Linked DNA regions of Callithrix jacchus. The protein of the gene in region 1 interacts with the protein of each later gene in a pairwise test. Links are inferred from orthologs where the notes say so. Each region holds a gene or a part of one and is shown on either strand. Other genes may lie near its edges. The genes, in order: SDCBP, KLHL2, LDOC1, COX4I1, CUTC, PTS and RNH1.

The links.
Region 2: the proteins of SDCBP (region 1) and KLHL2 interact in binary tests that used the Homo sapiens proteins (3 or more experiments, as listed by UniProt). The link is inferred for Callithrix jacchus from reciprocal best matches to the Homo sapiens genes SDCBP and KLHL2.
Region 3: the proteins of SDCBP (region 1) and LDOC1 interact in binary tests that used the Homo sapiens proteins (3 or more experiments, as listed by UniProt). The two-hybrid records come from large-scale screens. The link is inferred for Callithrix jacchus from reciprocal best matches to the Homo sapiens genes SDCBP and LDOC1.
Region 4: the proteins of SDCBP (region 1) and COX4I1 interact in binary tests that used the Homo sapiens proteins (3 or more experiments, as listed by UniProt). The two-hybrid records come from large-scale screens. The link is inferred for Callithrix jacchus from reciprocal best matches to the Homo sapiens genes SDCBP and COX4I1.
Region 5: the proteins of SDCBP (region 1) and CUTC interact in binary tests that used the Homo sapiens proteins (3 or more experiments, as listed by UniProt). The two-hybrid records come from large-scale screens. The link is inferred for Callithrix jacchus from reciprocal best matches to the Homo sapiens genes SDCBP and CUTC.
Region 6: the proteins of SDCBP (region 1) and PTS interact in binary tests that used the Homo sapiens proteins (3 or more experiments, as listed by UniProt). The two-hybrid records come from large-scale screens. The link is inferred for Callithrix jacchus from reciprocal best matches to the Homo sapiens genes SDCBP and PTS.
Region 7: the proteins of SDCBP (region 1) and RNH1 interact in binary tests that used the Homo sapiens proteins (3 or more experiments, as listed by UniProt). The link is inferred for Callithrix jacchus from reciprocal best matches to the Homo sapiens genes SDCBP and RNH1.

What each region holds. Positions count from the first base shown.
Region 1 is NC_133517.1:14,796,779-14,800,845, reverse strand, and holds the start of SDCBP (syntenin-1), read right to left. Parts: upstream 2,801-4,067; 5' UTR 2,774-2,800; exon of another isoform or gene 2,755-2,773; intron 1-2,754. UniProt on the Homo sapiens protein: Multifunctional adapter protein involved in diverse array of functions including trafficking of transmembrane proteins, neuro and immunomodulation, exosome biogenesis, and tumorigenesis.
Region 2 is NC_133504.1:29,785,234-29,788,733, forward strand, and holds part of KLHL2 (kelch-like protein 2), read right to left. Parts: intron 1,710-3,500; coding exon 1,566-1,709; intron 1-1,565. UniProt on the Homo sapiens protein: Substrate-specific adapter of a BCR (BTB-CUL3-RBX1) E3 ubiquitin ligase complex that mediates the ubiquitination of target proteins, such as NPTXR, WNK1, WNK3 and WNK4, leading most often to their proteasomal degradation.
Region 3 is NC_133524.1:138,057,695-138,061,019, reverse strand, and holds LDOC1 (protein LDOC1), read right to left. Parts: upstream 1,906-3,325; 5' UTR 1,776-1,905; coding exon 1,338-1,775; 3' UTR 501-1,337; downstream 1-500. UniProt on the Homo sapiens protein: May have an important role in the development and/or progression of some cancers.
Region 4 is NC_133521.1:43,481,769-43,484,059, reverse strand, and holds part of COX4I1 (cytochrome c oxidase subunit 4 isoform 1, mitochondrial), read right to left. Parts: intron 209-2,291; coding exon 41-208; intron 1-40. UniProt on the Homo sapiens protein: Component of the cytochrome c oxidase, the last enzyme in the mitochondrial electron transport chain which drives oxidative phosphorylation.
Region 5 is NC_133513.1:92,693,469-92,696,968, reverse strand, and holds part of CUTC (copper homeostasis protein cutC homolog), read right to left. Parts: intron 1,321-3,500; coding exon 1,187-1,320; intron 1-1,186. UniProt on the Homo sapiens protein: May play a role in copper homeostasis. Can bind one Cu(1+) per subunit.
Region 6 is NC_133511.1:11,916,334-11,920,378, reverse strand, and holds the start of PTS (6-pyruvoyl tetrahydrobiopterin synthase), read right to left. Parts: upstream 2,801-4,045; 5' UTR 2,729-2,800; coding exon 2,646-2,728; intron 281-2,645; coding exon 201-280; intron 1-200. UniProt on the Homo sapiens protein: Involved in the biosynthesis of tetrahydrobiopterin, an essential cofactor of aromatic amino acid hydroxylases. Catalyzes the transformation of 7,8-dihydroneopterin triphosphate into 6-pyruvoyl tetrahydropterin.
Region 7 is NC_133511.1:131,400,104-131,404,056, reverse strand, and holds the end of RNH1 (ribonuclease inhibitor), read right to left. Parts: intron 3,943-3,953; coding exon 3,772-3,942; intron 1,023-3,771; coding exon 852-1,022; intron 762-851; coding exon 674-761; 3' UTR 501-673; downstream 1-500. UniProt on the Homo sapiens protein: Ribonuclease inhibitor which inhibits RNASE1, RNASE2 and angiogenin (ANG). May play a role in redox homeostasis. Required to inhibit the cytotoxic tRNA ribonuclease activity of ANG in the cytoplasm in absence of stress.

The DNA.
Region 1 (4,067 bases):
CAAAACCAGGAAAATCTGGAATACTAATTTGTGTTTCTTTTGTTGAAGCAGTTATTAAAATTTCTAGTAAAGTTGTGTTGCATTATCTCTTTATTTTCACTTATGCGAACTATTCATAAAATGAATGAAAAATGTAAAAAATAAAAATAAAGTATCAGGCCAGGAACCATGGCTCATGCCTGTAATCCTAGCACTTTGGGAGGCCGAGGTAGGAGGATTGCTTTAACCCAGGAGTTTGAGACCAGCCTGAGCAACACAGCAAAATTCCATCTCAAAAAAAATAAAAAGTAAAAAAATGAAAAAATAACATGTCCCCCAGATGGTAAGCATTCCAGATAGCTCATACATGGAGTCTAGAAACACAATTTTATATATCCTAAGCAGCCTTCCAGAGCAATGTTCTCAATATGGCTATTCATCAGAGCCAAATTACCAGAGGCTCTAGTTATTATAAAAACAGCTTCCTGGGCCGGGAGCGGTGGCTCACGCCTGTAATCCCAGCACTTCGAAGGCTGAGGCAGGCGGATCACAAGGTCAAGAGATCGAGCCCATCCTGGCCATCGTGAAACCCTGTCTCTACTAAAAATACAAAAAAATTAGCCGGGCGTGGTGGCATGCATCTGTGGTCCCAGCTACTCGGGAGGCTGAGGCGGAAGAATCGCTTGAACCCAGGAGACGGAGGTTACAGTGAGCCGAGATTGCGCCACTGCACTCCAACCTGGCAACGGAGCAAGACTCCTCTCAAAAAAAACAAAAAACAAAAAACAAAAAACCTCAGCTTCCTGAACAGATACAAATTTCATGGAAGGACTTAGGTACTCTGCTTTTTAATAAATATCCTGGGAGTTTCTGAAGATCAGGCATTAAGAAGTATGTCCATATAAAGTCCACTCTAAGTAGAATAATTAATTCTTACCCCTAGGATTCCATTTCTCAGCTACTGAACTGGCAAAAATCCAAAGTTTGACAATACTCTCCGACAGCAAGGCTTTGAGAAACACTCATACACTACTAGTGGGAGCGTAAACTAGTACAATTCCCATGGAGAATGAGTTTGCAGTAGCTTACTAAAATTCTAAATTCAAATACCCTTCAACTCTGCAGTATCATTTCAAGACCTGAACTGTACAAACACATGTGCACAAAGGAAGCAACATATGTAAAAGTTCATTCACTGCAGCACTGACTGTAACAGCCAAAGACCTGAAAGCTATATATGCTGATATTAGAAAGTTCCAAAATATTATCAATAACTGGAAAAATAAGAGCAAAATGTGGAGCAGTATATAAAATGTTAACGTTTATGTTAAAAGAAAGGAGACAGATGCAGTTTGTATGTTTGCCTGTGTAGATAGGATATTCCCGGATGAATACCCAAGAAATTTAAAACAGTTGGCTGCCTGCCAAAAGGAAGGAGACTTCATACTATATACCTTTGTATGCTGCTTAAATTTTGAGACACGTGACCGTTTACCTACTCGAAGACAATATTTACAAAAGATGTTGGCAGCACTTGAAAGAAAATTAATCAATGTGAACGTAACTATTACTAAGTGTAGAAAGTATTTTAAAGTTGTTTGGGGAGCTTTCCTTTTTTATAATCTCTTGGCATTTAATACCTATAAAAAGGACCCAAATCTGGCAACAGGGAAAATAGTTGTGCCACGCACATTTTAAGAAACTGTTTAATTAAACAGTACATTTAACTGGCAACCATTAGCAAATTCTTCCCCTTTTATGACTTTTACATCTTTTCCTATAATGCCCAAAACTAAAAATGTCTCTGAAGTTCAATTTCGTTTATAATGGAGAGACTAAACAAGCGGATGTTAGAGCTCGGTAAACCGAGTGTACTTTCTAAGGAAAGTACGTAATGGAAAAAATAACCGTAAATGTGTATGCGGTTATATAGAATAGATGATCCTAGAAACTCCTTTCAAAAATGTGCACATTCGAAGCCTCCATGACTCAATAATCCCACTTTGATCAAAGTAAAAACTTTCCGCATCCATATGCCTTCCCTTTCCCATCATTACAAGGAAATCCTGAAAGGAAAGCTGTGAGTCATCAGATCTCAGGAGTATTTCCTTCTAAACATACTCTGCGGGAAACGTTTCTCCTTCAGGTCCAACAGCACCAGGAAAAAGCTCAGGGCGAACAACCTCTCCCCACCCGCTTCCAAACAAGTCAAGGTTTCGCCCACTAAACACCTCCTTCCTGCTTTCAAATCCAGGACGTTCCTAATAACCCAAAAGGAAGCACAGCCCAAGAAACGCGGGGAGACAGGACGTTCCAAATAACCCAAAAGGAAGCGCAGCCCAAGAAACGCGGGGAGAAACCGCGGCCAGAGGCTCTTTCTTTACTTGTCTCGAGATCTTAGCGAGCGAGAACAACGAGGATCGAGAGACGGTCCCAGGAAGAATCCCAGAGCTGGGGCCGCGGTTGCCGGCGTTCACCCGGCCGTGCCTCGGGGCTCTACCCACCCCAGCCCCAGCCCCAGCCCGGAGAGGAGCTCGAAACCCGCGGGGTCCCGGGGAGCAGAGCGCGCTGCTCCCGCAAATTTGCCCCGCAGCCAGCACGGCGCAGGGAGGGGCGCGGAGCCCCTGAGGAGAGGGCGTCGCCGCCGCCTCCCGAAAACGGCTGCGACCAGGACGCTCTCGGTTAAAAGGCCCGGGGACCATCACGCCTCTGCCCCACGTCCCCGCGCCCGGGACCCGGCACCGGCGTCCCTCTTGCCCCCTTTCGGCCTCTCACCTAGCCCACAAGGACTCACTCACGGCCGCCGCCTCCTCCGGTCACTGGCACGGACTTCTGAGGCCCAAGGGTAGCAGAGCGGCGAGAGCCGGAGGACCGCCCCCGAGGCGCGTCACGGCACCGCCCCCGCCTTCCGCCCGCGCAGGCGCACGGCCCCGGGTCAGGTGATCCGGTTCCCTAGGTAACCGGGCGGCGGGAGTAAAGGGACCTGGGCGTGGGTAGTTCCTGCAGCTACCGGTATCTGGCAATGTAGGGCCGTGCAGGTGGCCCGCTGTGCCAACTGGCCGCTGCCCCGCGGTTATGCTCCGCGTCTTCTCCGCTCTTCTGGCAGTTCGTGCCCGCTGGCCCCTTTCCACCCACTCACTACCGTGTGTATAGCAGCTCACGGTCGCTTGGTTCTGGTCGCCTACAATTCAAACAGGTCTCGGGAGCCCATGCTCCCTCTTGGGATGCCTTCGACTTCCACCACTGCTGTCCTAACCTCACTCTCCTCTTGCTGTACCTCTCCACCATAGGCTCACAAATGTTCCTCTCACTCACTACCCCTTCTCAACTCCTGCCTTATTTTTCTGTTTGAAATGTGGGGGGTCGAAGGGGAAGTTACTAATCTTTGTCCGCCTGAGCTGATATTCCTTCGCTGTTGAGAGTTCTGTGTGGTGCTGCGCAAAAGTAATTACTGTTTCCTAATACAAAAACATAACGATGATTTCTTGAGGGCTGATGATGTGCCAGCCATAGCTCTACGAACTTAGTGTATAGTCTTATTTGGTCTTCACATCAGTCTATAAAATAAATACAACATCGCATTACAGACAGACTGAGGCACAGTTTACCCAAGAATAATCATAGTTACCGTGGAATACTGTAGAGTGCTTGACAAAATAGCATTTACAAGCAGTTTATAGCTAAATTAGTGCCACAATCATATCTGGCAAAACTAATAAAAAAAATCTGAGGGTAAAAGAGGTGACAACTAAAGATGAAAACTTTCACATGTACCCCAAAACCTAAAATGCAATAAAAAATTAAAAATAAAAAAAGAAAACTTTGCTCTCAGTAAGGTTATATGTAGTTAGGCTGATGAAAATGGACGTTTAAAAATAATCACAAGGTAGATTGGGAATGAGAAAATAAAACTTTTTGTTTTCAGATGAGATGGTTATCTAACATAGAAAATCCAGGAAAATTGACACCCCTCCCCTAAAAAATAGAATGAAAAGCAATTACAGTAAATTTTCATGAACAAGTTTAAAACAAGCTGATCCTAAGCCAAAATGCTTGGGACCAGAAATGTTTCCAATTTTGGATTTTTT
Region 2 (3,500 bases), on another chromosome or scaffold:
TTCATAAAATGTGCGACGTTTTCAAAATTGCTGGGATGGCTGCAGCAATGGCTTCTTGAGTTTTCCTTTTCCTTTTTACAATGATCCCTACCCTGGATTCATTTATTTTGAAATGGTGGGCAAGTGTAGCAGTAGACCTCAATCCATGGTATATCTCAAGCAATTCAGCTTTTTCTTATAATGTCATGACTCTTCTCTGCTTCGTTGAAGCACTTCCCAGCATCATCAGTGGCACTCTGTATGGGTCCCGTGGTGTTATTCAAGGTTTATGATATTGCAATAAACATGATTAAAAATAAGGCAGAACCATGAGAGATCACTTTCTACAGATACACATCGCTAAAGAGACAAATTGCTCTTTCAAAGATGATTACTGCCCCACAGCTTTTTAAGTGGCTACTCACAACAGCTAAGCTCACTAATACAGCAACAGAAAATGGCTGTACAATTATTATAGTAGTACAGTAACATACAACAGCTAATTTCATGCAGTTATGATTTAATATTGTATCTCTGTGGTTTGTTCACAATTCTCTGGACTGTGAATGACACCATACATGGTCTGTATGTGTTTGTTCCTGTAAGAGTTTGTGTGCATACATTTTGATAAGTTTTAGCTTTTTGTAATAGATTTGTGGATATTTTGTAGTAGTAAATGATAAAACAGACTAATATCTACATATATTTTATGTGTTCATATCTTTTACTTAATTTTTTCAATATTTCTAGGTTATGCAGTTCATCTGAGTTTTATAAAAATTTTCCAACATAATTACTGAAAAACATTTGCATATAAGTGGACATACACAGTTCAAACCTGTGTTGTCCAAGGGTCAACTGTATGCTATGTATTCTGCCAGTTTATACCTCAATTAAGTTGTTTTAAAATTCATCTAATATTCAGCCATGTTACTGGGATTCTACTGTACATAGTTCTTCTACTAAGTGCTGTTTTGAATGATACATAAGCAACAGTGATAGTTAAATTATACATTCTTTTCCTTCACTATTGGATCAATTTTGTTATAGAAATATTATAAAATTAAAAGCAAGATAAATATCACTGAAATAAATAATATATAACACAGTTTAAAGATGCACCATAAGAATATATTGGACCAAAAAATAACATTTTATAATTCAACCAGTATTATGCTTAAGAAAGAAAAATTATTCCACAGCCTCACTATAATACTATCTGATGAAGCCTCACCGTGGGGAGATGTAGGAACCCTATCCTATTTCTTGGACATCTCAGGAATTAAAGCCTTGTCACATAGTGAATTCCTCTCCTTGGCATACTGACTTTAGCGACATTAAATTTTATTATATGATTTTGCATATCAAAGATTTGGGATTTTGAATACAAATGACTACAGAATGACCAAAGTGTACTGGTGCTTTATTTCAGAATATACACAGCCAATGCTAATCATCTTAAGAATAAGATATAAACTATACCTTGAGAAAAAGCATTATTCTTATAATAGAAAAACTTTATTAATATCAAAATTATAATGATGTCATATTTTTCTATTGTAATGGACTTTAGAGACAATCGTTACCTGCATAACTTCTCCCTGTGCTCATACACGATGACACAACTGTCCATTTATCGGTTGTTGGGTTATAATACTCTACTGAAGCCAAGTTACAGGAACCATCATCCCCTCCAACAACATATAACAGACCATTAACTGCACAAACTCCTTTAAAAAATTATACAGAGAGAAAATGATTATTTAAAAAATTTGGATGAATATGAGTATCACTGTACATGTTTAGTGAGATAATCCAGAGACACTAATTTCTTTGAAAGGAGGCAAGAAGAGAAAATAGTGAACATGTAAAGAATCCTTTTTATATTATGATAGCCAGGCACCGTAGTTCACGCCTATAATCCTGGTACTGTTGGAGGATGAGGTGGGCAGATCACTTGAGGTCAGGAGTTCCAGACCAGCCTTGCCAACCTGGTGAAACCCCATCTCTACTAAAAAAAACAAAAATTAGCTGGGCACGGTGGAACGTGACTGTAGTTCCAGCTACTCCAGAGTCTGAGGCAGAGTCATTTGAACCCAGGAGGCAGAGGCTGCAGTGAGCCAAGATCGCACCACTGCTCTCCAGTCTGGGTAACAGAGTGAGACTCCATCTCAAAAATAAGAAAGAAAGAATTCCTTTTATACTAGGAAACTCTAATACCACTTCTAAGTTTCTACTGAGTGTCATTTATGCAGCAGTTGCATTATATATGCATTATTCTATTCAATTTTCACAACATTATAGGTTAGAAACTATTTGACCCTCATTTTATTTAAAAACAAAAAAAAAAATGTCAAAGAAGTTTAGTAACACTCCCAAAGTCAACTACTTAGGGAATATCAAGGAAGAAAACATATGTTAGTAAAAGGTAAAAATATTCTTAATTTTAATTATTATACTGAATGGTTAGCTATTTTCTCTCTCTTTAAAAGGGAAAAATAATATTATTTATCTATTAGATTAACTCTTTTCTTTGCAAAAATTCAAAACATCTAGAAAGGTATAAAGAAAAAAAGGTGACCTCTAATCTTATGTCACTTAGAATAATGACCATTAAAATTTTGATCTCTACTCTGGCTAACTTTTCTCGATGCATATATACTCAGATACTGCCTTTTTTAACCCCAAAGTAGCTCACCCGACACATGCTACTTTATTACTTACCCTCCCTGGCCAACCAACATACCCTGGACATTTCCTCAAGTTAATAAATATAAATGTAATTTTTATGTATGATAATACCAGTTTATTTAATCATTTTTTACTAATATTTAAGTAATTTTGATTTTTTTTGCTGTTACCAATGATGTTGCAATGAACAAAGATCCCCTGAATAGTGTGTTAAATAGTTGAGCAATTTCTCTTAATATAAATGATTAGAAAGAAAACTACTAAGTCAAATGGTAAATGCTTTTAAAAAGCTCTTTATTTCAATTTTTTAAAGTATATTTAGTATCTTATAAAAAGTTCAGTGCTACTATAAACTTGTACTAGAGGGCATCAAAGAATCCAGAAAAATGCTGCCCAAATCTACAAAACTTTGTAGGAAAAAAACTCATACCATTTTAAAGTTGTTCAAATACTTAAAAGCAAGAGCCAAATGCTACTGCCACACAAGCTCTCACAGTAGTTATATGTATTTGCAACACTCTATTCCAGCCTATTGATGGATAACACAGGACTGTGGGAGACAAAATGATCTCAAAAATGGCCCTGCTATGATAGAAGGCATGAATAAGAAGGCTATATTGTCCTAAAGAGCTTTCTCAATCATATCTACAAGGGGCTCACAGATTAAAGAGCATCCTACTGCAGAAAGAGAGGTTGGTCCATACATCCATTTCAATATATTAGCTATACATTCAAAAGACATCAATTTTATTAATCCACTAACTCACAACACTAGATTACTTTTAGGCAATCAGAGCCAAATCACTTTGCCAAAAGAATGCACTTTCCTG
Region 3 (3,325 bases), on another chromosome or scaffold:
CGTGCCCAGGATCCAGGATTTAATGTTAGCTGGAGCATCTGAGAGTGACATAAAAGCAATATACTATGTTGGCTATTTGGAGCCTGAACTCAGCAGCTACACATAGGCAATAAGGATTAAGGGGCAGAACTTCCCTGGTACAGTGTTAAGGAATCTGAAAGCTCAGATAATTGGGAGCATTACATCTCTCTCTCTCTCTCTCCCCCCTCTTCCAGGTTTATGACTGTTGTTATGGTCTAATTATTAATACTGCCTCTTTGCCATCTGCTCAGCCAAGCCTTACCCATGCCATTCTGGAGGAACCAGAGGACATACCCTTTGCCAGGGCTTTATGAAATACATTGGTGAAGGGAACATCAGAACACTGACAGAGCCCTGAGGTAGCTGTCGCCAACAGCCTGGAGATGACAGCGGGGAACCCTGATTTCCATGGGAATAATGGTAGACAGAGTGACAGTGTTGGAGGCCAGTGACAGCACTTAACCATTAAAAGACAATCATTTCTTTTTTTTGTAGTGCTTGATATTTATTGAAAATAATGCCAATGCTTTTTCCAGGTAGTATTGAGGAGCTGGGCTGAGTGCTTGCTTTGTTCTTAGTATTATTTGTCCAAATGCACACATCTGGGGGACTGCTGCAATTTTGAAAGTAAAGTGACAGCTGTGTAAAACCAATGCATAGGAAAAAAGAAATGTCAACAATTTGGCTGCCAGGCACACCAAGCCCCTGCAGCAATCTGGTGGGGCATGGGAGGACCCTCAGAGTGGGTAGAAAACTAACCAGGCTGAATGATTGGCCCCTTCATGGGTTGGTGAGCTGTCCGAATCAATGTCCGAAGAGGTATAGCCAACTCTGGCATCTTCCAGGTTGGTCCTTACTTCGAAAGGCGGTAGTATGTAGGTGGGATGTGGTGAGTGGATGTGAAGTGGCAGCATAGTTCTCTGGGCAGATGTAAGCCTGGCAGTAGGGTAGGTGGCAGCAGCAGGGCTATGGGTGGTATGACCAATTTATAATGGGGGCATGGCCAATAACTGGGGCTCAGGACACAGTTCGGATTAGCAGGGGAGGGATTCAGGGGCTGGCCAGGGTAGATGACACTTCCAAGCATTTCCGAGTGAGTGAGGCTTCAGCCCCAACCCCAGCAGCAGGTAAATGGAGCACTATTCCTGGAACAAAGACAAGCACTACGGAGAAACGAAGAGAGAGAACTGAAGGGCGCGAGTAGGGAAGGGGACCAGAGGGCAAGGCGGAGAACAGTGGCTCCCGGCGGGGTGAGGGCTGGAGAGAGGGGGTGGCGGCGTGCAGGGCCCTCCCCGCTAGGCCTGAGGGTCTAAGGCCTAGTAATCATCCTCTTCGTCGTCGTCGTCGTCTTCATCGTCATCCCAGCCAAAGCACTGTTTCATCTCATCGAGGAAGGCCCGGTAATCACCTAGGATGGGGCTATCCATCTCGATGTAGGGCACCACCCACTCCTCGGCTTCCCCGGTGAGGAGGCTGATTAGGAATGCCACCTTCATGGCGTCGTTGCAGAATCGGTTCTCGTTCACGAGCATGTAAGACGCCGTCTGCACGATAAACTCGGGGAGCCGGGAACTCTCGCCATTAAACGTTTCGGGGAAGGGCACCGGGCAGCTTGGCGGACGTACCTGGCGCAGCAGGCTGGCCCTCTCGCACACCAGCAGCCGCAGCTGTTCCATGAGCTGGCTGTTCTCGATGCTCAGGGCGCGGTGCCGCATCAGGAGCGCATGCAGCAGCAGCACCAGCTCATCCACCATGGCGAACGGCTTGGAAGTACAGGGCTCGGCTCGGTGCGGCTCGGTGCGGCTCGGCTCGGACAAGGTGCGTACGGAGGCCTCGCAGGAAGTGCTTGTCCACCAAGGCGCGCGAGGGCCAGGGGCGGGGGGCGGGGGGGCGGTGCGGTGCGCGCCGGAGTCCGGGAGGCTACGCAAGCCCCGCCCACGCGGCCTTTCGGACGGACGGTGCGCCGGCGCGGCGCGGGAGGGGCGTGGCCAGGCGAGGGGCCGCGGAAGCGTGGGGGCGTGGCCGGGATGGGAAGAGTGTAGACACACAGGGCTTGGCTAGGACTAGGATGCGCTGGGTTGCTGAACCACCGGCTTGTCGTAGCCCTCTAGGCGGGCAGTTAAAGGCTGCGGTCGGCTGTCAGAGCTCCTGGATGTGGGGCCTGAATTAGCAGAGGACCTGGCGAGCGCTGAATCCGGTCTCAGAGAAGGTACACTTGTTCAAGCTGAAAAGATTAACCACTCTTCTACCTAGCCAACTCGCACAACTCAGTGTTCCTTCGTGGGTCTGTGGCCACTAAATTCTCTTGGCGCGATGTTTTATTAACACATTTTCTTTCTTGTTTAAATCTCACTTAGCGAAGTATTGACACTGCTGGCTGCACTGTGGAAGTCACACTTCCTTTCAGGGTCATGAAGACCCTCAGGGGGTCCTGCCTTTCATGAAAAAGGCAGTATTTAAACAGTGACTTATTTAATTGGGAAATAATATGATATACCTACCTTAAAAAAAAAAAAAACCTAAATAGCAAGATATAAAAAGTTCTGCAAAATCAGCATCCGATAACCAATTGCAGGCATCCCACACATTTTATTCTCTATTTCTTGTTCTGCTACTAGTGCCATTGGCCACTGGGTATTATTCTCTACTTAAAAATGAACTGTGAAGATGTGAGTGTTTATAAATAATTTTCTTTTTCTACTTTAAATGGATCTCTGATCCTAGAGCTATCATGAATTATTGGCTCTGCTTTCAAATATATTGCCAATTCAATCATGTCTTGCCATTTCTACCACTGCCACCCTGATCCCCACCCAGCCTTTCTTTCTCACACACTGCTGCAACTAATCACTTAGCTTTCGCTTTTTTCTACCTATAGTATATTCTCCATAAAGTAGCCACGGGAATCATTTAAAACAAAAATTAGATCCCTTCACTCCCTTGCTCAAAATCATCCAAGTTTCATCTCAGAATAAAGAGCAAAGTTGCAGCCAAGGTCTACAAAGCCCTTCCTTCTATCCTATGCCTCTTCCCATTTTCTGCTATGCTCTAATCACTGTCCTTGCTGATTCTCACACACGTCAAGTAGTTCTGGCTTTGTAGCCTTTGCACCTTCTACCCCTTCTGCCTTGCAAGACTTGTCCCAGTTGGCTGCCTGACTCCTTCACCTACTGCTTTCAAAGAGAACTTTTCTGGCCACCGGACCTATCAGAGAACCCTGTTCTCTGCCACCAATCTCTAACCCTTGACTCTGCTTCATTTATCTACATAACATTTACTGTGCTACTGGCCAACATGTCAAATA
Region 4 (2,291 bases), on another chromosome or scaffold:
GGAGCTGCTGGGCTCGCCTGTGGGTCCCTTCAATACCCACACTCGACTTTCTCATCCACAGAGAGGCTGCTCCAGGAGGCCTTCTCCTTCTCCTTCAAGGCCTTCTGGCTGGCCGACAGGTGCCTGACATGGGCCACATCGGGCAAGGGATAGTCACGCCGATCCATGTAACTTGGGAGTGCATAGTCTTCGCTCTTCACAACACTTCCTGAAAAACACATTGGATAAATCTTTGAATCCATGTAAATTGAGAGTCACAAACAAGGTGATACTTCTGAAAACCAAAACAAACACACGTGTGCACACCTTGAAACCCTCAGTCATCTCAGGGGGTCACAGCCACTGTTTGAAACAGGTGCAGGACTGTGCTGGAGGGTGAACAGAAGCACTTTTCATCACTGCAAACAAAAACCCACCGGGGGCAACTGCTACTGAACCCTGGGGCCAAGGTGGCCGGGGGCAGCTCTTCCTATGTTAACAGTTATCCCCTGCCCTGAACAGGAGACTGGTCAAAATGAGGCCCAGCTGCAAGGGACTCAAACCACAAGGAAGAACAGGAACAGTGCAACACCCAAAGCGCTTCCCGTTCAGAAACAAAGGCACTGTTCAGGAAAAACCTGTGTCCAACCAGGACTGAGGAAGAAATCGTGCCAGCTCTGTGAAACGAGGACCATGGAGCCACTCGTTCAGAGAGTGTTTACCAAGCACCCTCTACAGGCAAGGCAGGGCTCTAGGTATCTGGGTTCATCTGTGAACAAATCAAATCAAACATTCCTGCCCAGTGGCACTTAACATTCTAAGAGTGGCAAACAAACAATAAACATAATGTGCAAATCACATGTTTAGACAAAAGTACTCTGGAGAAAGAAGAGAGCAGGAGGGCACTGGCAATGTGTGGATGGCAGGAACCAAGAGGCAAGGTCCACAGGACCGGGCAGACCTAGAGCCCGAATGCGACGGCAGAGTGCACTCAGCCACAGAACAAGGACAATGCTGTGTGCCTCCTTATGGAAGTCATGCACACATACTCACATACACATAATCCACTCACACTCTGACAAAGCAAGCTTCAAGCCGCCACACACGGGAGGCTGGGAGAACCTCGCGAGGATTTCTGCTCTATCTGCCTGTGATTTTAGTGCCTTCCAACCAGCCGGTATCACGAGGAAAGAAGTCCAGAAATCAGACAGCTAAGGAGTATCTTGCTTGTAGTGAGTCTTCCCCTGTTAAAAGCTGTTTCTCAATTCTGTCCCACACCTACCTGCAAGAACTGTTAGATACTGATCTGGAGGCCTTATGCCCTGCGACAATGCTTCCCCTCCATTAGCTCAGTCCCAGTGATTCCCATCTCCCAAATCTTCTTCTTAGTAAATCACGTTAAGCTTCAAGCAAAGTCACACATAGAGTTCTCTAGATGTTTATCTTAGCCATGAAAATGACTAGGATACTTTCAAACTTATACCTGACCTCGTCCCAAAAATGAGGTGGGATTTAAGGGACATGAGGTGGAAATGGCCGGATTACTTTCTAATTTTAAAGCCCTGATTCGATGAGGTGATGTGTGAACTAAAAAGAGCAGTTGTATACCGAATATTTTTATCAAGTTTAGCACCCTCCAAAAGTTTCTAAAATTTAAAACACTCAGTTACACGAGTTATTCAAAATAGATGTAAATATGGGTGATGAAAATGTTCTAGAATCAAACATTCATTGTGGTACTAATGACAAAACTCAATGAATATACTGAAAACCACTGAAGCCTACACTTTAAAAATGGGCGACTGTTACATGAATTGCATCTCGTAAAGCTGTCGTAAATGACATGACAGGAAGACTGAGGGGAGAAATGTTGTAATGATGTAAACCCTCAAAACCTTGAAGCAGGCAAACCTTAAAATTGCATCTTCCAGAATAAGAATAGCCAATTCCTGGTTTCAGGGGTTCTTCAGAGCTTCAGGCCTGGTCCCCCAAGGAATGAAGGGAAGGCAATGGTTACTTTACCAAACATTTTTTTAAAAATAGAGAAAAACAAGACTCCAGATTCTAATGAATGTCTGTCACTGCTTCCACATGGATGGGTTTCTGCTGAGCCTCCCCTGGGGAGGTCTGGTACATCTGGGCGCCCCTCGCTCAAATGTGTCGCCATGCAAATATCCCAGCGGACTTCAGTGATGGCTGATGGTATTCCAGACGGCTGTAATATCTTCTGCTGAGAACAGATTCATGTATTATTCATGAATGATTCACATAAGTTAAAATTTAATAGGCAAGACTTGTCTAAGAGCCTGCAA
Region 5 (3,500 bases), on another chromosome or scaffold:
GGTTTGCTATTGAGCCAAGGAAGCTAGACATAAATACTACATATGATTTTATTTAAATTAAATAAAATTCAAAAACTGGCAAGTCTAATCTATGATAGTATTAATCAGGAAAGTGGTTATTTTGGGGGACTAGGGAGGCACAGTTTTGCAAGATGGAAGAGGCAGGACTTCAGAGGTGCTAGTAATGTTTTCTTTCTTGACCTTCATGGGAAAGAATAATTAAAAGGTATGTTTGCTTCCTGATAATCCAAAAAAAAAAAAAAAAGCAGCAATAATAGAAACTAACATTATTAAGACCTACTATATACCAACCACTGTGCTAAGCCTCTTACATATCTCATCTCTAGCAATCTTCTGAGAAACTCTACAAAAGAAGTATTAAACTTATCTCAGTTTCACACAGGGGAAACAGAGGCATAAAGATTAACCTACTCAACTCAACATCACATAGCAAGTGTCAAACCTGAGTCTCAAACACATGACTCTCTTATCTCAAAGCCTATATTCACTAATTTATAATGCCTCTGGACTGATGTCAGAAAAACACAGACATACTATAATTATAAAGTCACCCTCTGAGTGTTCTACAAATGATGCCAGCTTACCAGGAGAACTCATAAAAGAGAAACATATATTTCCTTTTTTATTGACAGATAGGAAGAAATAAGACTATAATTTTAGTTTTGGAATTTATCTCCAGATGATAATTTCATATTGGATCCCCTGAATATACACGGGCTGTATAATGAAAAGATGTGGCTTAAAACTACAATGCTGGCTGGGTGCAGTGGCTCATACCTGTAATCTCAGCACTTTGGGAGGCCAAGATTGGCAGAAGGCTTGAGCCCAAGAGTTCAAGACCAGCCTGGGCAACATAGCAAGACTTTGTATCTAAACTAAGAAATGTAACTGTAATGCCAATGGGAGAGGAAAGGTAAAATCTGCTCTGCTTATCCAAGTTAGATCAGATCTCTAGGCACTATTGATGTGTAATTTGATATTAAAAGCCTTGATTATTAAAAAGGCTCATGTGAAAGAAGTAAGAATGATACACATTATTGCCTACTTGTTCTTTCCTACAGAGTAACCACAAAGTCAGTAATATATAGTATTACAAACTGGCTAAACAGAATGTCAGGAGTAACCACAACAGAGTCTTAGGGGAAAAAAAAGAAATTCCATGTACCTGCTCTATGAGTCGCTTTATTAGGGGTAGCCCTTCTAATGCTGAACTGTCACATCCACTGGTCAACACTCGTTCAAATCCCAAGGTTAAGAGGGTCTCCAGAGCTGCCATTGGATCATGAACCATGTCAAAGGCTGAAATAAATAAAATTGATGTGAATTCCGAACAGATATCCTTTAATGCACTGCTTCCCAAAATGTAGCTTACATGCAGTGGCAGGCTGGACCTAGCTTGTGTGGCTTACAAAGGCCAATTATTAAACACTCAATAATTCTGTAAGTCAGATTGTTAACCTACTGGCAGCCTGAAATTAATGAAGGTAGGGCCAGGTGTCGTGGCTCATGCCTATAATCCTGGCACTTTGGGAGGTGGGCAGATCACTTGAGCCCAGGAGTTTGAGACCAGCCTGGGCAACATGGCAAGATCCCATATCTACAATACAAAAATCAGCCAGGCATGGTGGTGTGCACCTATAGTCCCAGCTACTTGAGAGGCTGAGATGGGAGGATCACTGCCTAGGGACTTGAGGTTGCAGTGAGCTGAGATTGCACCGTTGCACCCAAGCCTGGACGACACAGCAAGACCCTGTCTCAAAAGAAAAATAGAAATTAATTTTAAAAAATTAGTGAAGGTAGAGTATTTAAACCACAGAAATTTTAAAATGCTACAAATCAGGGCTCTTTTTTCTAAGAGCAAGTTTATCAGCACACCACAGTCTGCATACCACCACTGTGCACGATGATTTTAATAATGGTACACATTTAAAGAGGTATATTTATTTAAATGCAGATAAGAAAGGAAACGTTTTCAATTTACAGTAGTTATGAAAGTTTCTATTGAAAATAACTTAAGTTTTTTTTCACATCTTTTTAAGCTCGGGGATACAAGTGCAGGTTTGTTATACAGGTAAACCCATGTCTTGGGAGTTTGTTGTACAGATTATTTCATCACCCAGGTATTAAGCCTAGTACCCATTAGTTATTTTTCCTGATCCTCTCTGTCTACCTACCCTCTACCCTCTAAAAGGCCCTAGTGTGTGTTGTCCCCCTCTATGTGTCCATGTGTTCTCACCTTTTAGCTCCCACTTATAAGTCAGAACATGTGGTATCTGGTTTTCTGTTCTTGTGTTCATTTACTAAGAATAATGGTCTCCAGCTCCATCTATGCCTCTGCAAAGGACATAATCTTGTTCTTTTTTATGGGTGCATACTTAAGATTTTATTTAAAGAAAATCATTAAATAAATGTGCACAGGTAGCACTCATATATGGTAAAATTTTAAATGTGATAAGCAGGTGAGTCCAATTTAAGAAACTGCTCTAAGGCTTCAGAAAAACTGGACTAGGTAGAATGAAACACTGTACTCAGCAGTTCTAGAAAAAGCCTTGGCTCACATTCTCATTACTGACTAATAGTTTGGACTAATCTATTAACCCCACATACTCAAGGTTCACAGCATAAGGATAGCTGTTTTCAACAACTATATGAAGTTTCAATTCCATCCTACTTTCTAAGAGACTTCTACCCTCCTCAGAGCCCTCAAAGAGTAAAGTGGTACCAGGAAACCGAAAACAGAAAACCTCCTTCTGCTTTGGTTCTCACATCGCTACATGATATAGAAGTTCTAACCTGTGGTGGATTAGGTGGTAGTGGTCCTCTGAGATAGACCCCTTCATTTCACCCTTTAGTGTATGTAGGCAACTAAATCTACCACAGAGGATCTACCTGTTTCGGTGGCAGTCTCACCACTATAACAATATTATTATGCTACATCATTAAATACATGAGTGAAAAAAATGTGGAACCCAAAAATTCTACAAATTTTGAAAATAGGAAAATATTTTTGCTAAACCTATTGGAATAAAGAAAAGAATAGAAATTTGAAGTAAAAATTTTTTTTTTACTGTAGACTTCTTTTCATGTGCAATGGCAGTACTCTCTGAAGGCAAAATAGACATTTGTTCTTCTGTTTAACCAAGATGTAGCCAAAGGACATAGAAATTATAACTACCTGATTTTTTGGCTGGGTGCGGTGGCTCACACCTGTAATCCTAGCACTTTGGGAGGCCAAAGTAGGTGGATCATGAGGTCAGGAGTCCAAGACCAGCCTGGCTAAGATGGTGAAACTCTGTCTCTACTAAAAATACAAAAATTAGCCAGGGGTAGAAGCTGAGGCAGAGAACTGCTTGAACCCAGGAGGTGGAGATTGCAGTAAACCAAGATTGTGCCACTGCATTACAGCCTGGGCAACAGAGCAAGATTGCATCTCAAAAAAAAAAAAAAGAAAAGAAAAGAAATTAAAACTAACTGATTTT
Region 6 (4,045 bases), on another chromosome or scaffold:
TTAAACCATTCAGTTTTGAACTGTTTGTAAGAGTTGACAACTGCAAGTTAAAATTTAACACCCACCCACCCAAAACAACAGACCCTTTCATTCTGAACTCTCATGTAATTCTCATTCGAGGCTCAAAGCATCACACTGTGTTTGCTGAATACTCTTTCATCCTTACTGAAGGACTGAAATGTCATCAGTTTTTCTCTCACCTTTATAATTGTGCCCATGGCCATTTGGATTGCTGCATTTCCCAAACAGCTTCAAGTTTTCTTCCTCACTTAGAAACTTACTAACCAAAACAAAACAAAAAGTCAGCATGACACAAGCATCACATTCAAACCCCCTTCTCTGTTCCCTATGTATATTATTTGCTCTGATCTTTGAAAAGTTTCCCAATTTGTTATTACTTTAGCTCACCAAATGGGGAGTCAGAAATATGTTGATTTCATTTCTCATGCAAATGTCAGAAACCAGTGCACAGTTCCTAATTAGAAGGCTGTACCAGCCAGGCACGGTAGCTCACACCTGTAATCCCAGCACTTTGGGAGGCCGAGGCGAGCAGATCATAAGGTCAGGAGATTGAGACCATCCTGGCTAACACTGTGAAATCCCATCTCCACTATAAATATAAAAAATTATCCGGGCAGGGTGGCATCTGCCTGTAGTCCCACCTACTTGGGAGTTGAGACAGGAGAATCACTTGAACCAGGGAGGCAGAGGTTGCAGTGAGCCAAGATTGCACCACTGTACTCCAGCCTGGGCAACAGAGCGAGACTCTGTCTCAAAAAAAAAAAAAAAAGACTGTACCATACAAATTAGCACAAACAAACCTTAACTTCAACCCCACAGCAACTGATCTGCTGATGGGCCTTCCACTTTTCAATTTAACATTACTGACTGAGTGCCTACAATGTACTAGGCAAGTGCTGAATGACCTAACAGCATATAATGATCAACAGAGATGCTGATTCACAAAGTGGCTATTTCATTTCTCTCAGAAACTAAACTACTCATTCAGAAAAAAATAATTTAAAAAGTAATTACAAGACCTGGTGAGTCTCCGATTGAACATTCTTGATTTACTATGTCTCAACGATTGCCTCATGAGAACTTTACCAATATCTTGAAGAATATTCAAAGCAGGTGAGTTTTTAAAATTACAACTGTAATTCTAAACATTGTTGCCTCAGACAGAAAACAAATTACTTAATGAATGTTTATACCTACACCTGTCCAATCAATTTTGCATCGTCAATGAGGCCCTACCACCCTCAGGTGTTTGAGCTTCTTATGTTACCACCCCTTTCTTTTTGAGATCCTCTTTATTATTCCCCCCCAACGTAGTTTGGATGTCTGTGCCCTCCAAATCTCATGTAGAAATGTGATCCCCAACACTGGAGGTGGGGCCTAGTGAGAGGTGCTTGGCTCATGGGGGTGGATCCCTTATGAACAGCTTGGTGCCCTCCCTGAAGTAATGAGTGAGTTCTCGCTCTATTAGTTAATGGGCGAGCTGGTTGTTAGAAAGAGTCTGGCACCTCCTTTCCTCGCTCTTGCTCCCTCACTTGCCCTGTAAGTTGCCTGCACCCCCTTCTCCTTCCACCATGAGTGGAAGCTCCCAGAGGCCTAAACAGAAGCAGATGCTGGTGCCATGCTTCTTGTACAGCCTGCAGAACCAAAGAAACCTCTTTTCTTTATAAATTACCCAGTCTCAGTACTCCTTTATGGCAATGCAAAAATGGATTAACACACCCCCACTGTCTCCTGCCCAGCCACTTCTTGTATTTAAAAGAGGGCTAAGTCTTTTGCACAAAATTCTCACTGTACCCTCCACAAAATTGACCAGGCTGTAAACCCCATAACAAGATCCCCGCTGCATCCGTTACCTAGCACAAGCACTGACAAGCACGAAACAAACCCTCGTTCAGCGAATGGAGGGATGAATCCTGTTAGATAGGAATGGTTATACTCATTTTGCAGACGACGATATGGAGGGCCAGAGAGGGGCGCTTGCTGCAGAGTGGTAAAACTCCTCAAAACCAACTCTGCAGTGCATGCAAGCGGCATGGAAGCTCGGGGTTCAACTATGCTGCTTGCTTCGGAAACCGAACATCTGGGTTCATTTTTTTTTTCTCCTAGCCACTCCCACCAGGGACTGGGTTCCTTCTATCTTTGGCAAAAAGGGGCTAAAGCTTGCCTTGTGATGACATTAGATACGGCCGCCAGCGCTCCTGGCTTACAAAATTAGCTAACATTTACTGGGTGCCTACGCAGCTCCGGGTACTGACACAGGCGAGTTTAACACCGGTAAGCTTCACGGCAACCCTGTGGTCTACACCAAGGAACTCCGAGTCGCAGAGCCTGGTGCGGGCCCCGCGGCCAGAAATGGTCCATCGCCCTCCGCAGCCGGCTCCGTTAACCACCACGCTCCCCGATCCCTCCAGGGTTGGGGACACCCCAGCCGCCATCGGGATGCGACCTGCCGCCCAAAGCCCCGCGAAGGCACCCAGCGAGCGCCGCCCTCCATCAGCTGCTTCGCCCGGAAGCCCCTGCGCCCGCGACCCCGGGTCCGACGTCACGCGCCCCCGGCCCCGCCCCGGTGACGTTCCGAGGCCCGGCGCCCTCCGCCCGCCGCTGCACCTCCGTGCACACCCGACCTGTGCAGCCGGTGGCTCGCGCTGAAGGAGATGCCGCGGGACACCTGCGCCTTGGGACGACGGCCGCCACCCACCGCGCTCATCTTCCCGGCGCCCTCTACGCCGCTCGGCCTGCACCTTCTCCCGCGGCGCGGCCTGCGCCTCCCTCCACGGCTGCGCAGTGCAGGCCGGCGCCCCCCTGGGGAGCGCGGCTCCGCTTTGGCTCGGGCCAATCCCAGCCTCGGGAGACAGTTACGCGCGTCCCTAGCTGTTTAAATCTCTTCCGAGACCGAGTTCCGAGAGCTAAGCCTACCCTGGAGCGGTCACGGTGGGTGGGGACTCGGTGTCTTTGATCTGTTTGTCTGCTCCGCCTGCGGTCACGCCACGTGGTTAGGGCCCGTCTGCACACACTGGATCCTGAGCCACCTCTCTGAGCCTCCCCGCCCACTCTCTCCTGTAAAGCTCCAGTGGCTGGTGACTATCGGATGAGCCCCAGGGCCACAGTCCGCTTTATAAACCAAAAGGAGCGGGAATTGAGCCAGGCGGGCGAGGTGGCGCACTCCTGTAGCCCCAGCTGTTGGGAAGGGGAGGGATCCCTTCAACCCAGGAGTCCAACTTGGGCAATAGAGAAAGACGCTCGTTTCTTTTAAAAAAATTTTTTTGAAAGAGCAGGACTTGAGATCATGAATAGGACCACGTGGCAACAGTCCTTTGTGGTCATTATATGTTGGGGTCCGGCACGTCTGCCGGGGGACTACAGACCTGCAGGAGTCCCCGAGACCGCCAATGTAGATGTCTCGTTCAACCTGAGGGAGAGAGTGCGCGGAAGTGAAAGAAAATAGAAAAGCGGAGTCTGGAGGGCTTGCTTAGGCTATGTCCAAGCAGCAATTTTATTTTTGCAATATGTTCCATTATATACTTTTCTGAAGTCAAAAGTTGTTTACGCCAGATCAATGTACTTAAGTTACAGTAAACAAGTTACGCCCAGTAAGTAAGTTAAGTTCAGTAAGTAGGTTACGCCCAGTAGGTCAAGGTAAGTAAGTTGCAGTCACACCCTGTAAGCTATGGTAAGTTAAGTTACACTCAGTAAGTTAAGGTAAGTTACCAAGTGTAAATACTTAAATTAATATTTTACAATGAAGGTAACAAGGGTCCAAAATGAACACAATCAAGCAATAAACCATAAGGAGGCCGGGTGCGGTGGCTCATGCCTGTAATCCCAGCACTCTGGGAGACCGAGGCGGGTGGATCACGAGGTCAAGAGATCGAGACCATCCTGGTCAACATGGTGAAACCCCATTTCTACTAAAAATACAAAAAATTAGCTGGGCGTGGTGGCGTGTGCCTGTAATCCCAGCTACTCGGGAGGCTGAGGCAGGAGAATTGCCTGAACCCAGGAGGCGGAAGTTGCGGTGAGCCGA
Region 7 (3,953 bases), on another chromosome or scaffold:
TTGAGCTGGCTGGAGTGCAGTGGTGCAATCTCAGCTCGAGGTAACCTCCACCTCCCAGGTTCAAGCGATTCAGGCACCTGCCAGCACATCTGGCTAATGTTTGTATTTTTAGTAAAGATGGGGTTTCACCATGTTGGCCCAGCTGGTCTCAAGCTCCCGACCTCAAGTGAACTGCCCACCCCAGCCTACTTCCCAAAGTGCTGGGATCACAGGCGTGAGCCACCACGCCCAGCCTCAGGTCACTGAAAAGGGCTTTATTGGGCCAGGCCAATGGCTGACACCTGTAATGCCCACACTTCAGGAGGCCAAGACCAAGCACCAGCCTGGGCGACATGTCAAGAGAGAAGCTCATACCAAGTGGCGTGGTGCACCCAATACCAGTATCCTCAGACATCCCAGGAAGGACAGGAGCCCAATAGCAGCGCCCTCAGAGACCCCAGGAAGAACAGGAGCCTGACACCAGCACCCTCGCAGAGACCCCAGGAAGAAAGAGCCCCTCCTGCCAAGAAAGTGTTTTAATGATTGTAAAGTATCCAAAATACACTAGCAGAAATAAGCTGATCTGAGCATTTCTCTTCAAATCTAGGAAACGCAGGGTGAGAGCCCAGGGGTGCCTCGAGGCCAGGCTGTCCAGGGAGAGCGGGTCTCAGGAGCCTGGCGGGCAGGAAGCGGCTTAGGAGATGATCCTCAGGGATGACTTCTCCTTCTCCAGGGCCTGCAGCTGGCGGTCCATCTCCAAAGACCAGTAGATGTCGTACAGGCTGCACACAGGCCAGAAGGGAGGAGTAGGCAGGTGTCCTCACCCAGCCCGCCCCCCGGACCCCCGCCCCCCGCCCCGCACAGGCACGTACACCAGCTGCTCCAGGTGGCAGGACGGCTGCCGCAGGCTCTCCAGCAGCATCTGGATGCCTTCGTCCCCCATGCAGTTGTTGCTAAGGTCCAGCTCGCGCAGGCTGTCGTTGGCCAACAGGGTCTTGGCGAGGCTGAGGCAGCCAACGTCAGTCACATCGCACTCCCCCAGCCTGGGTAGAGCAGGGTGGGGGTCAGGTGTGTGGGTAACCCCCCATATAGGCCCCGAGGAATGAGAGCTAAGCAGAACCCTGGCACAGTTAGGGCTTGAGGAATATCTCACTGTACAGTGTCACTACTCAGCTATTTCCTTTTATATAATCCTTTACATAATCATATATTAGTTTATAGAATTAGGGCTTGAAGAATCCCTTGATATAATCCCCTATATGTAATCATATAATAGTTGATAGTATGAGGAGTGCCTAAAGAATATTTCCCTACATATATATATATATATATATATATATATAATTATATCTTAGTTCATGGTCAGAGGAATGCCTGGAGTGGACACAGTACAGAGCATGAATTAAGGAATAAGCAGCTCATAATCGGAGGAATGCCTAGAGCAGATATGGCGCAGAGCATGATTTAAGGGAAAACAGTTATGCCAGGACAAGAACCCATGGCCCAGGCGGCAGCGTTCAGTATCGCAAAGATACCCGCTGTGTGGCAGGCTTGGGGCGAGAGCCACTGCTCCTGGTAAAGGCGTTGTAGGACCTTGCTCCAGTTCTTGGGGAAGGCCGCCCTCAGACCGGCACTCCACCTTGGTGACTGTGAACTCTATCAGCTCTTGCTACTGTGCTGCTCGAAAAGCATCTTCCCATAGAACCCACTGGAAGCTGCCAGCAGGTGGCGGTAACCCTCTGTGGCCCTGGGCAGGTGCCCACCACAGACAAGGCCAGCACGCAGCCCCTTGGCAGGGCACAGCAGACTGACTCCCTGAGCAACTCTCTCCTCCCACGAGGGGCAGAAAGGACCAGAGGAAGACAATGTCCACCCACAGAGCCACGTCCACCCCCCGCTCCCCACCTCCTCAACACTGCCTGGCCAAGTGGGGCTAAGAGGAGAAGCCAGCCACGGAGACCGAGGGGCAGCTGTGGGGAAACGAGGGTGTGGAGGGTTCTGAGGAAGGCACAGTGGACAACAGACTTCAGGCTCCCGAGAGAGACTAGGGTACAGGCCAGACAAAAGACAGTGGAGAAAACCCAGCACTCACTCCCCAGGGTGCAGCCGCATCCGGCCGGAGCCAGGCCAAGGAGCTGTGCTGGGCCTCTACAAAGTGGGAGCCAGGGAAGCTGCAGGACCCCCACCCTGGCAGTGGCTCAGGCAGACAGGCCTGCAGTGACCAGGACCCAGGGTTCCATGCCCCACCTGGAAGGCCCACAGGGTCCTGGCAGCCAGGATGGCGTCCTGAGAGCCCCCCCCCCCCCGCCCCAGGAAACACAGCCACGACTCGCCTGCCCAGCCCGCTGCCCAGGGCTCCCGGGCCTCACTCTGCACTTGGTGCCCGGCCACCCATGGAAAGCCCCTGGCGAGAGGCACAGGTGAAGCAGCACACAAAAGACAAAACACTGATGGTGGAAATTCAGTAGACTGGTTGAGGAACAAGAACATCTCCCAGAAATAAGAACAAAACCTCGAAGAGACAGAACATTTGGAGAACACAATTAGCGGGCCAGTCCAGGAGACCTCACGGGCACACCGGGGCATGGTGGCTCACACCTGTAATCCCTGCACTTTGGGGGCCGAGGCGGGTGGATCACCTGAGGTCGGGAGTTCGAGACCAGCCTGAGCAATATGGTGAAACCCCATTTCTACTAAAAATACGAAAATCAGCTGGGAGGCTGAGGAAGGAAAGTTGCTTAAACCCAGGCGGAGGTTGCAGTGAGATCGCACCACTGCACTCCAGCCTGAGCAACAAGAGTGAAACTCTCAAAAAAAAAATGAGAGGAAAAATCACCAAAGGCGTGATACTTAGGACAGCCAAGTATCCAGCACAATAAAAGAACCAAGACACACATCAAGGCAAAGCACATGGAACCCCAAACACAATGGGCAAAGACATCTTTAAAAGCTGCCAATGAGAAAAAGCACATCGTGCACACAAGATCATGATGGCTCACACCTGGCATCCTAGCACTTTGGGAGGCCAAGGCAGGTGGATCACCTGAGGTCAGAAATTTGAGACCAGCCTGAGCAACATGGTGAAAGCCCCATTATTCAGGCATGGTGATGCACCCCTGTCATCCCAGCTACTCGGGAGGCTTGAGCCCGGGAAGCAGAGGTTGCTATGAGCAGAGATCACGCCACTACACTCCAGCCTGGGTGACAAGACTCCATCTCAAAAAAAAAAAAAAAAAAATCAGAACAGCAAAGTCCTCTCTGGAAGCCAGAAAATGATGTAGCATCACCTACCAATTCTACAGGAACATCTGTAGCCCAGAATTCTATACCCAGCTGAATTTGTAACCCAGAATTCTATACCCAGCTGAATGACCCAAGGGCAGAGCAGATGCAGGCCTCCAATAATTACCTTCTGCAGAACCTGTTCTTAGGAAGCTGCAAGACAACGTGCTTTAACAAAGGGAGGAAACCTGGGAAGACATCCTGACCCTGGGTTCCTGCATGGCAGGAAGGTGGGCGGGACTTCCAGGAAAATGGACCACAGGGTGGCCAGGGCACGCTGGAGCCCCAAAAGCTATTAGGCTTCATGAACCAAGACCTCTGTCTCTGACTCTGATCAAAGTTGCAAGAAGCCAGAATGGTGCCGCCATGCTGCCTTCCCCAGCACATGAACACCCAGGTTCTTACAAACGTGTTCTCACATGGATGCTCGTGCTCTCACACACACACACACACACACACACACACACACGACCTCCCAAATATGCATATTCATGTCCCTCACACACTCACCAGAGTGACCGCATCACAGAGCCAGGCTGGCCCAAGCCCTGGCACAGCTCCTGCACACCTGCATCTCCCAGCCTGTTTTCACTTATCTGCAGCTCCAGAAGAAATTTATTCTGGGCCAACACTGAACTGAAGTGGGAGCAGCAGGCAGCTGTCAAGCCGCAGTACTTCACCCTGTGGACACG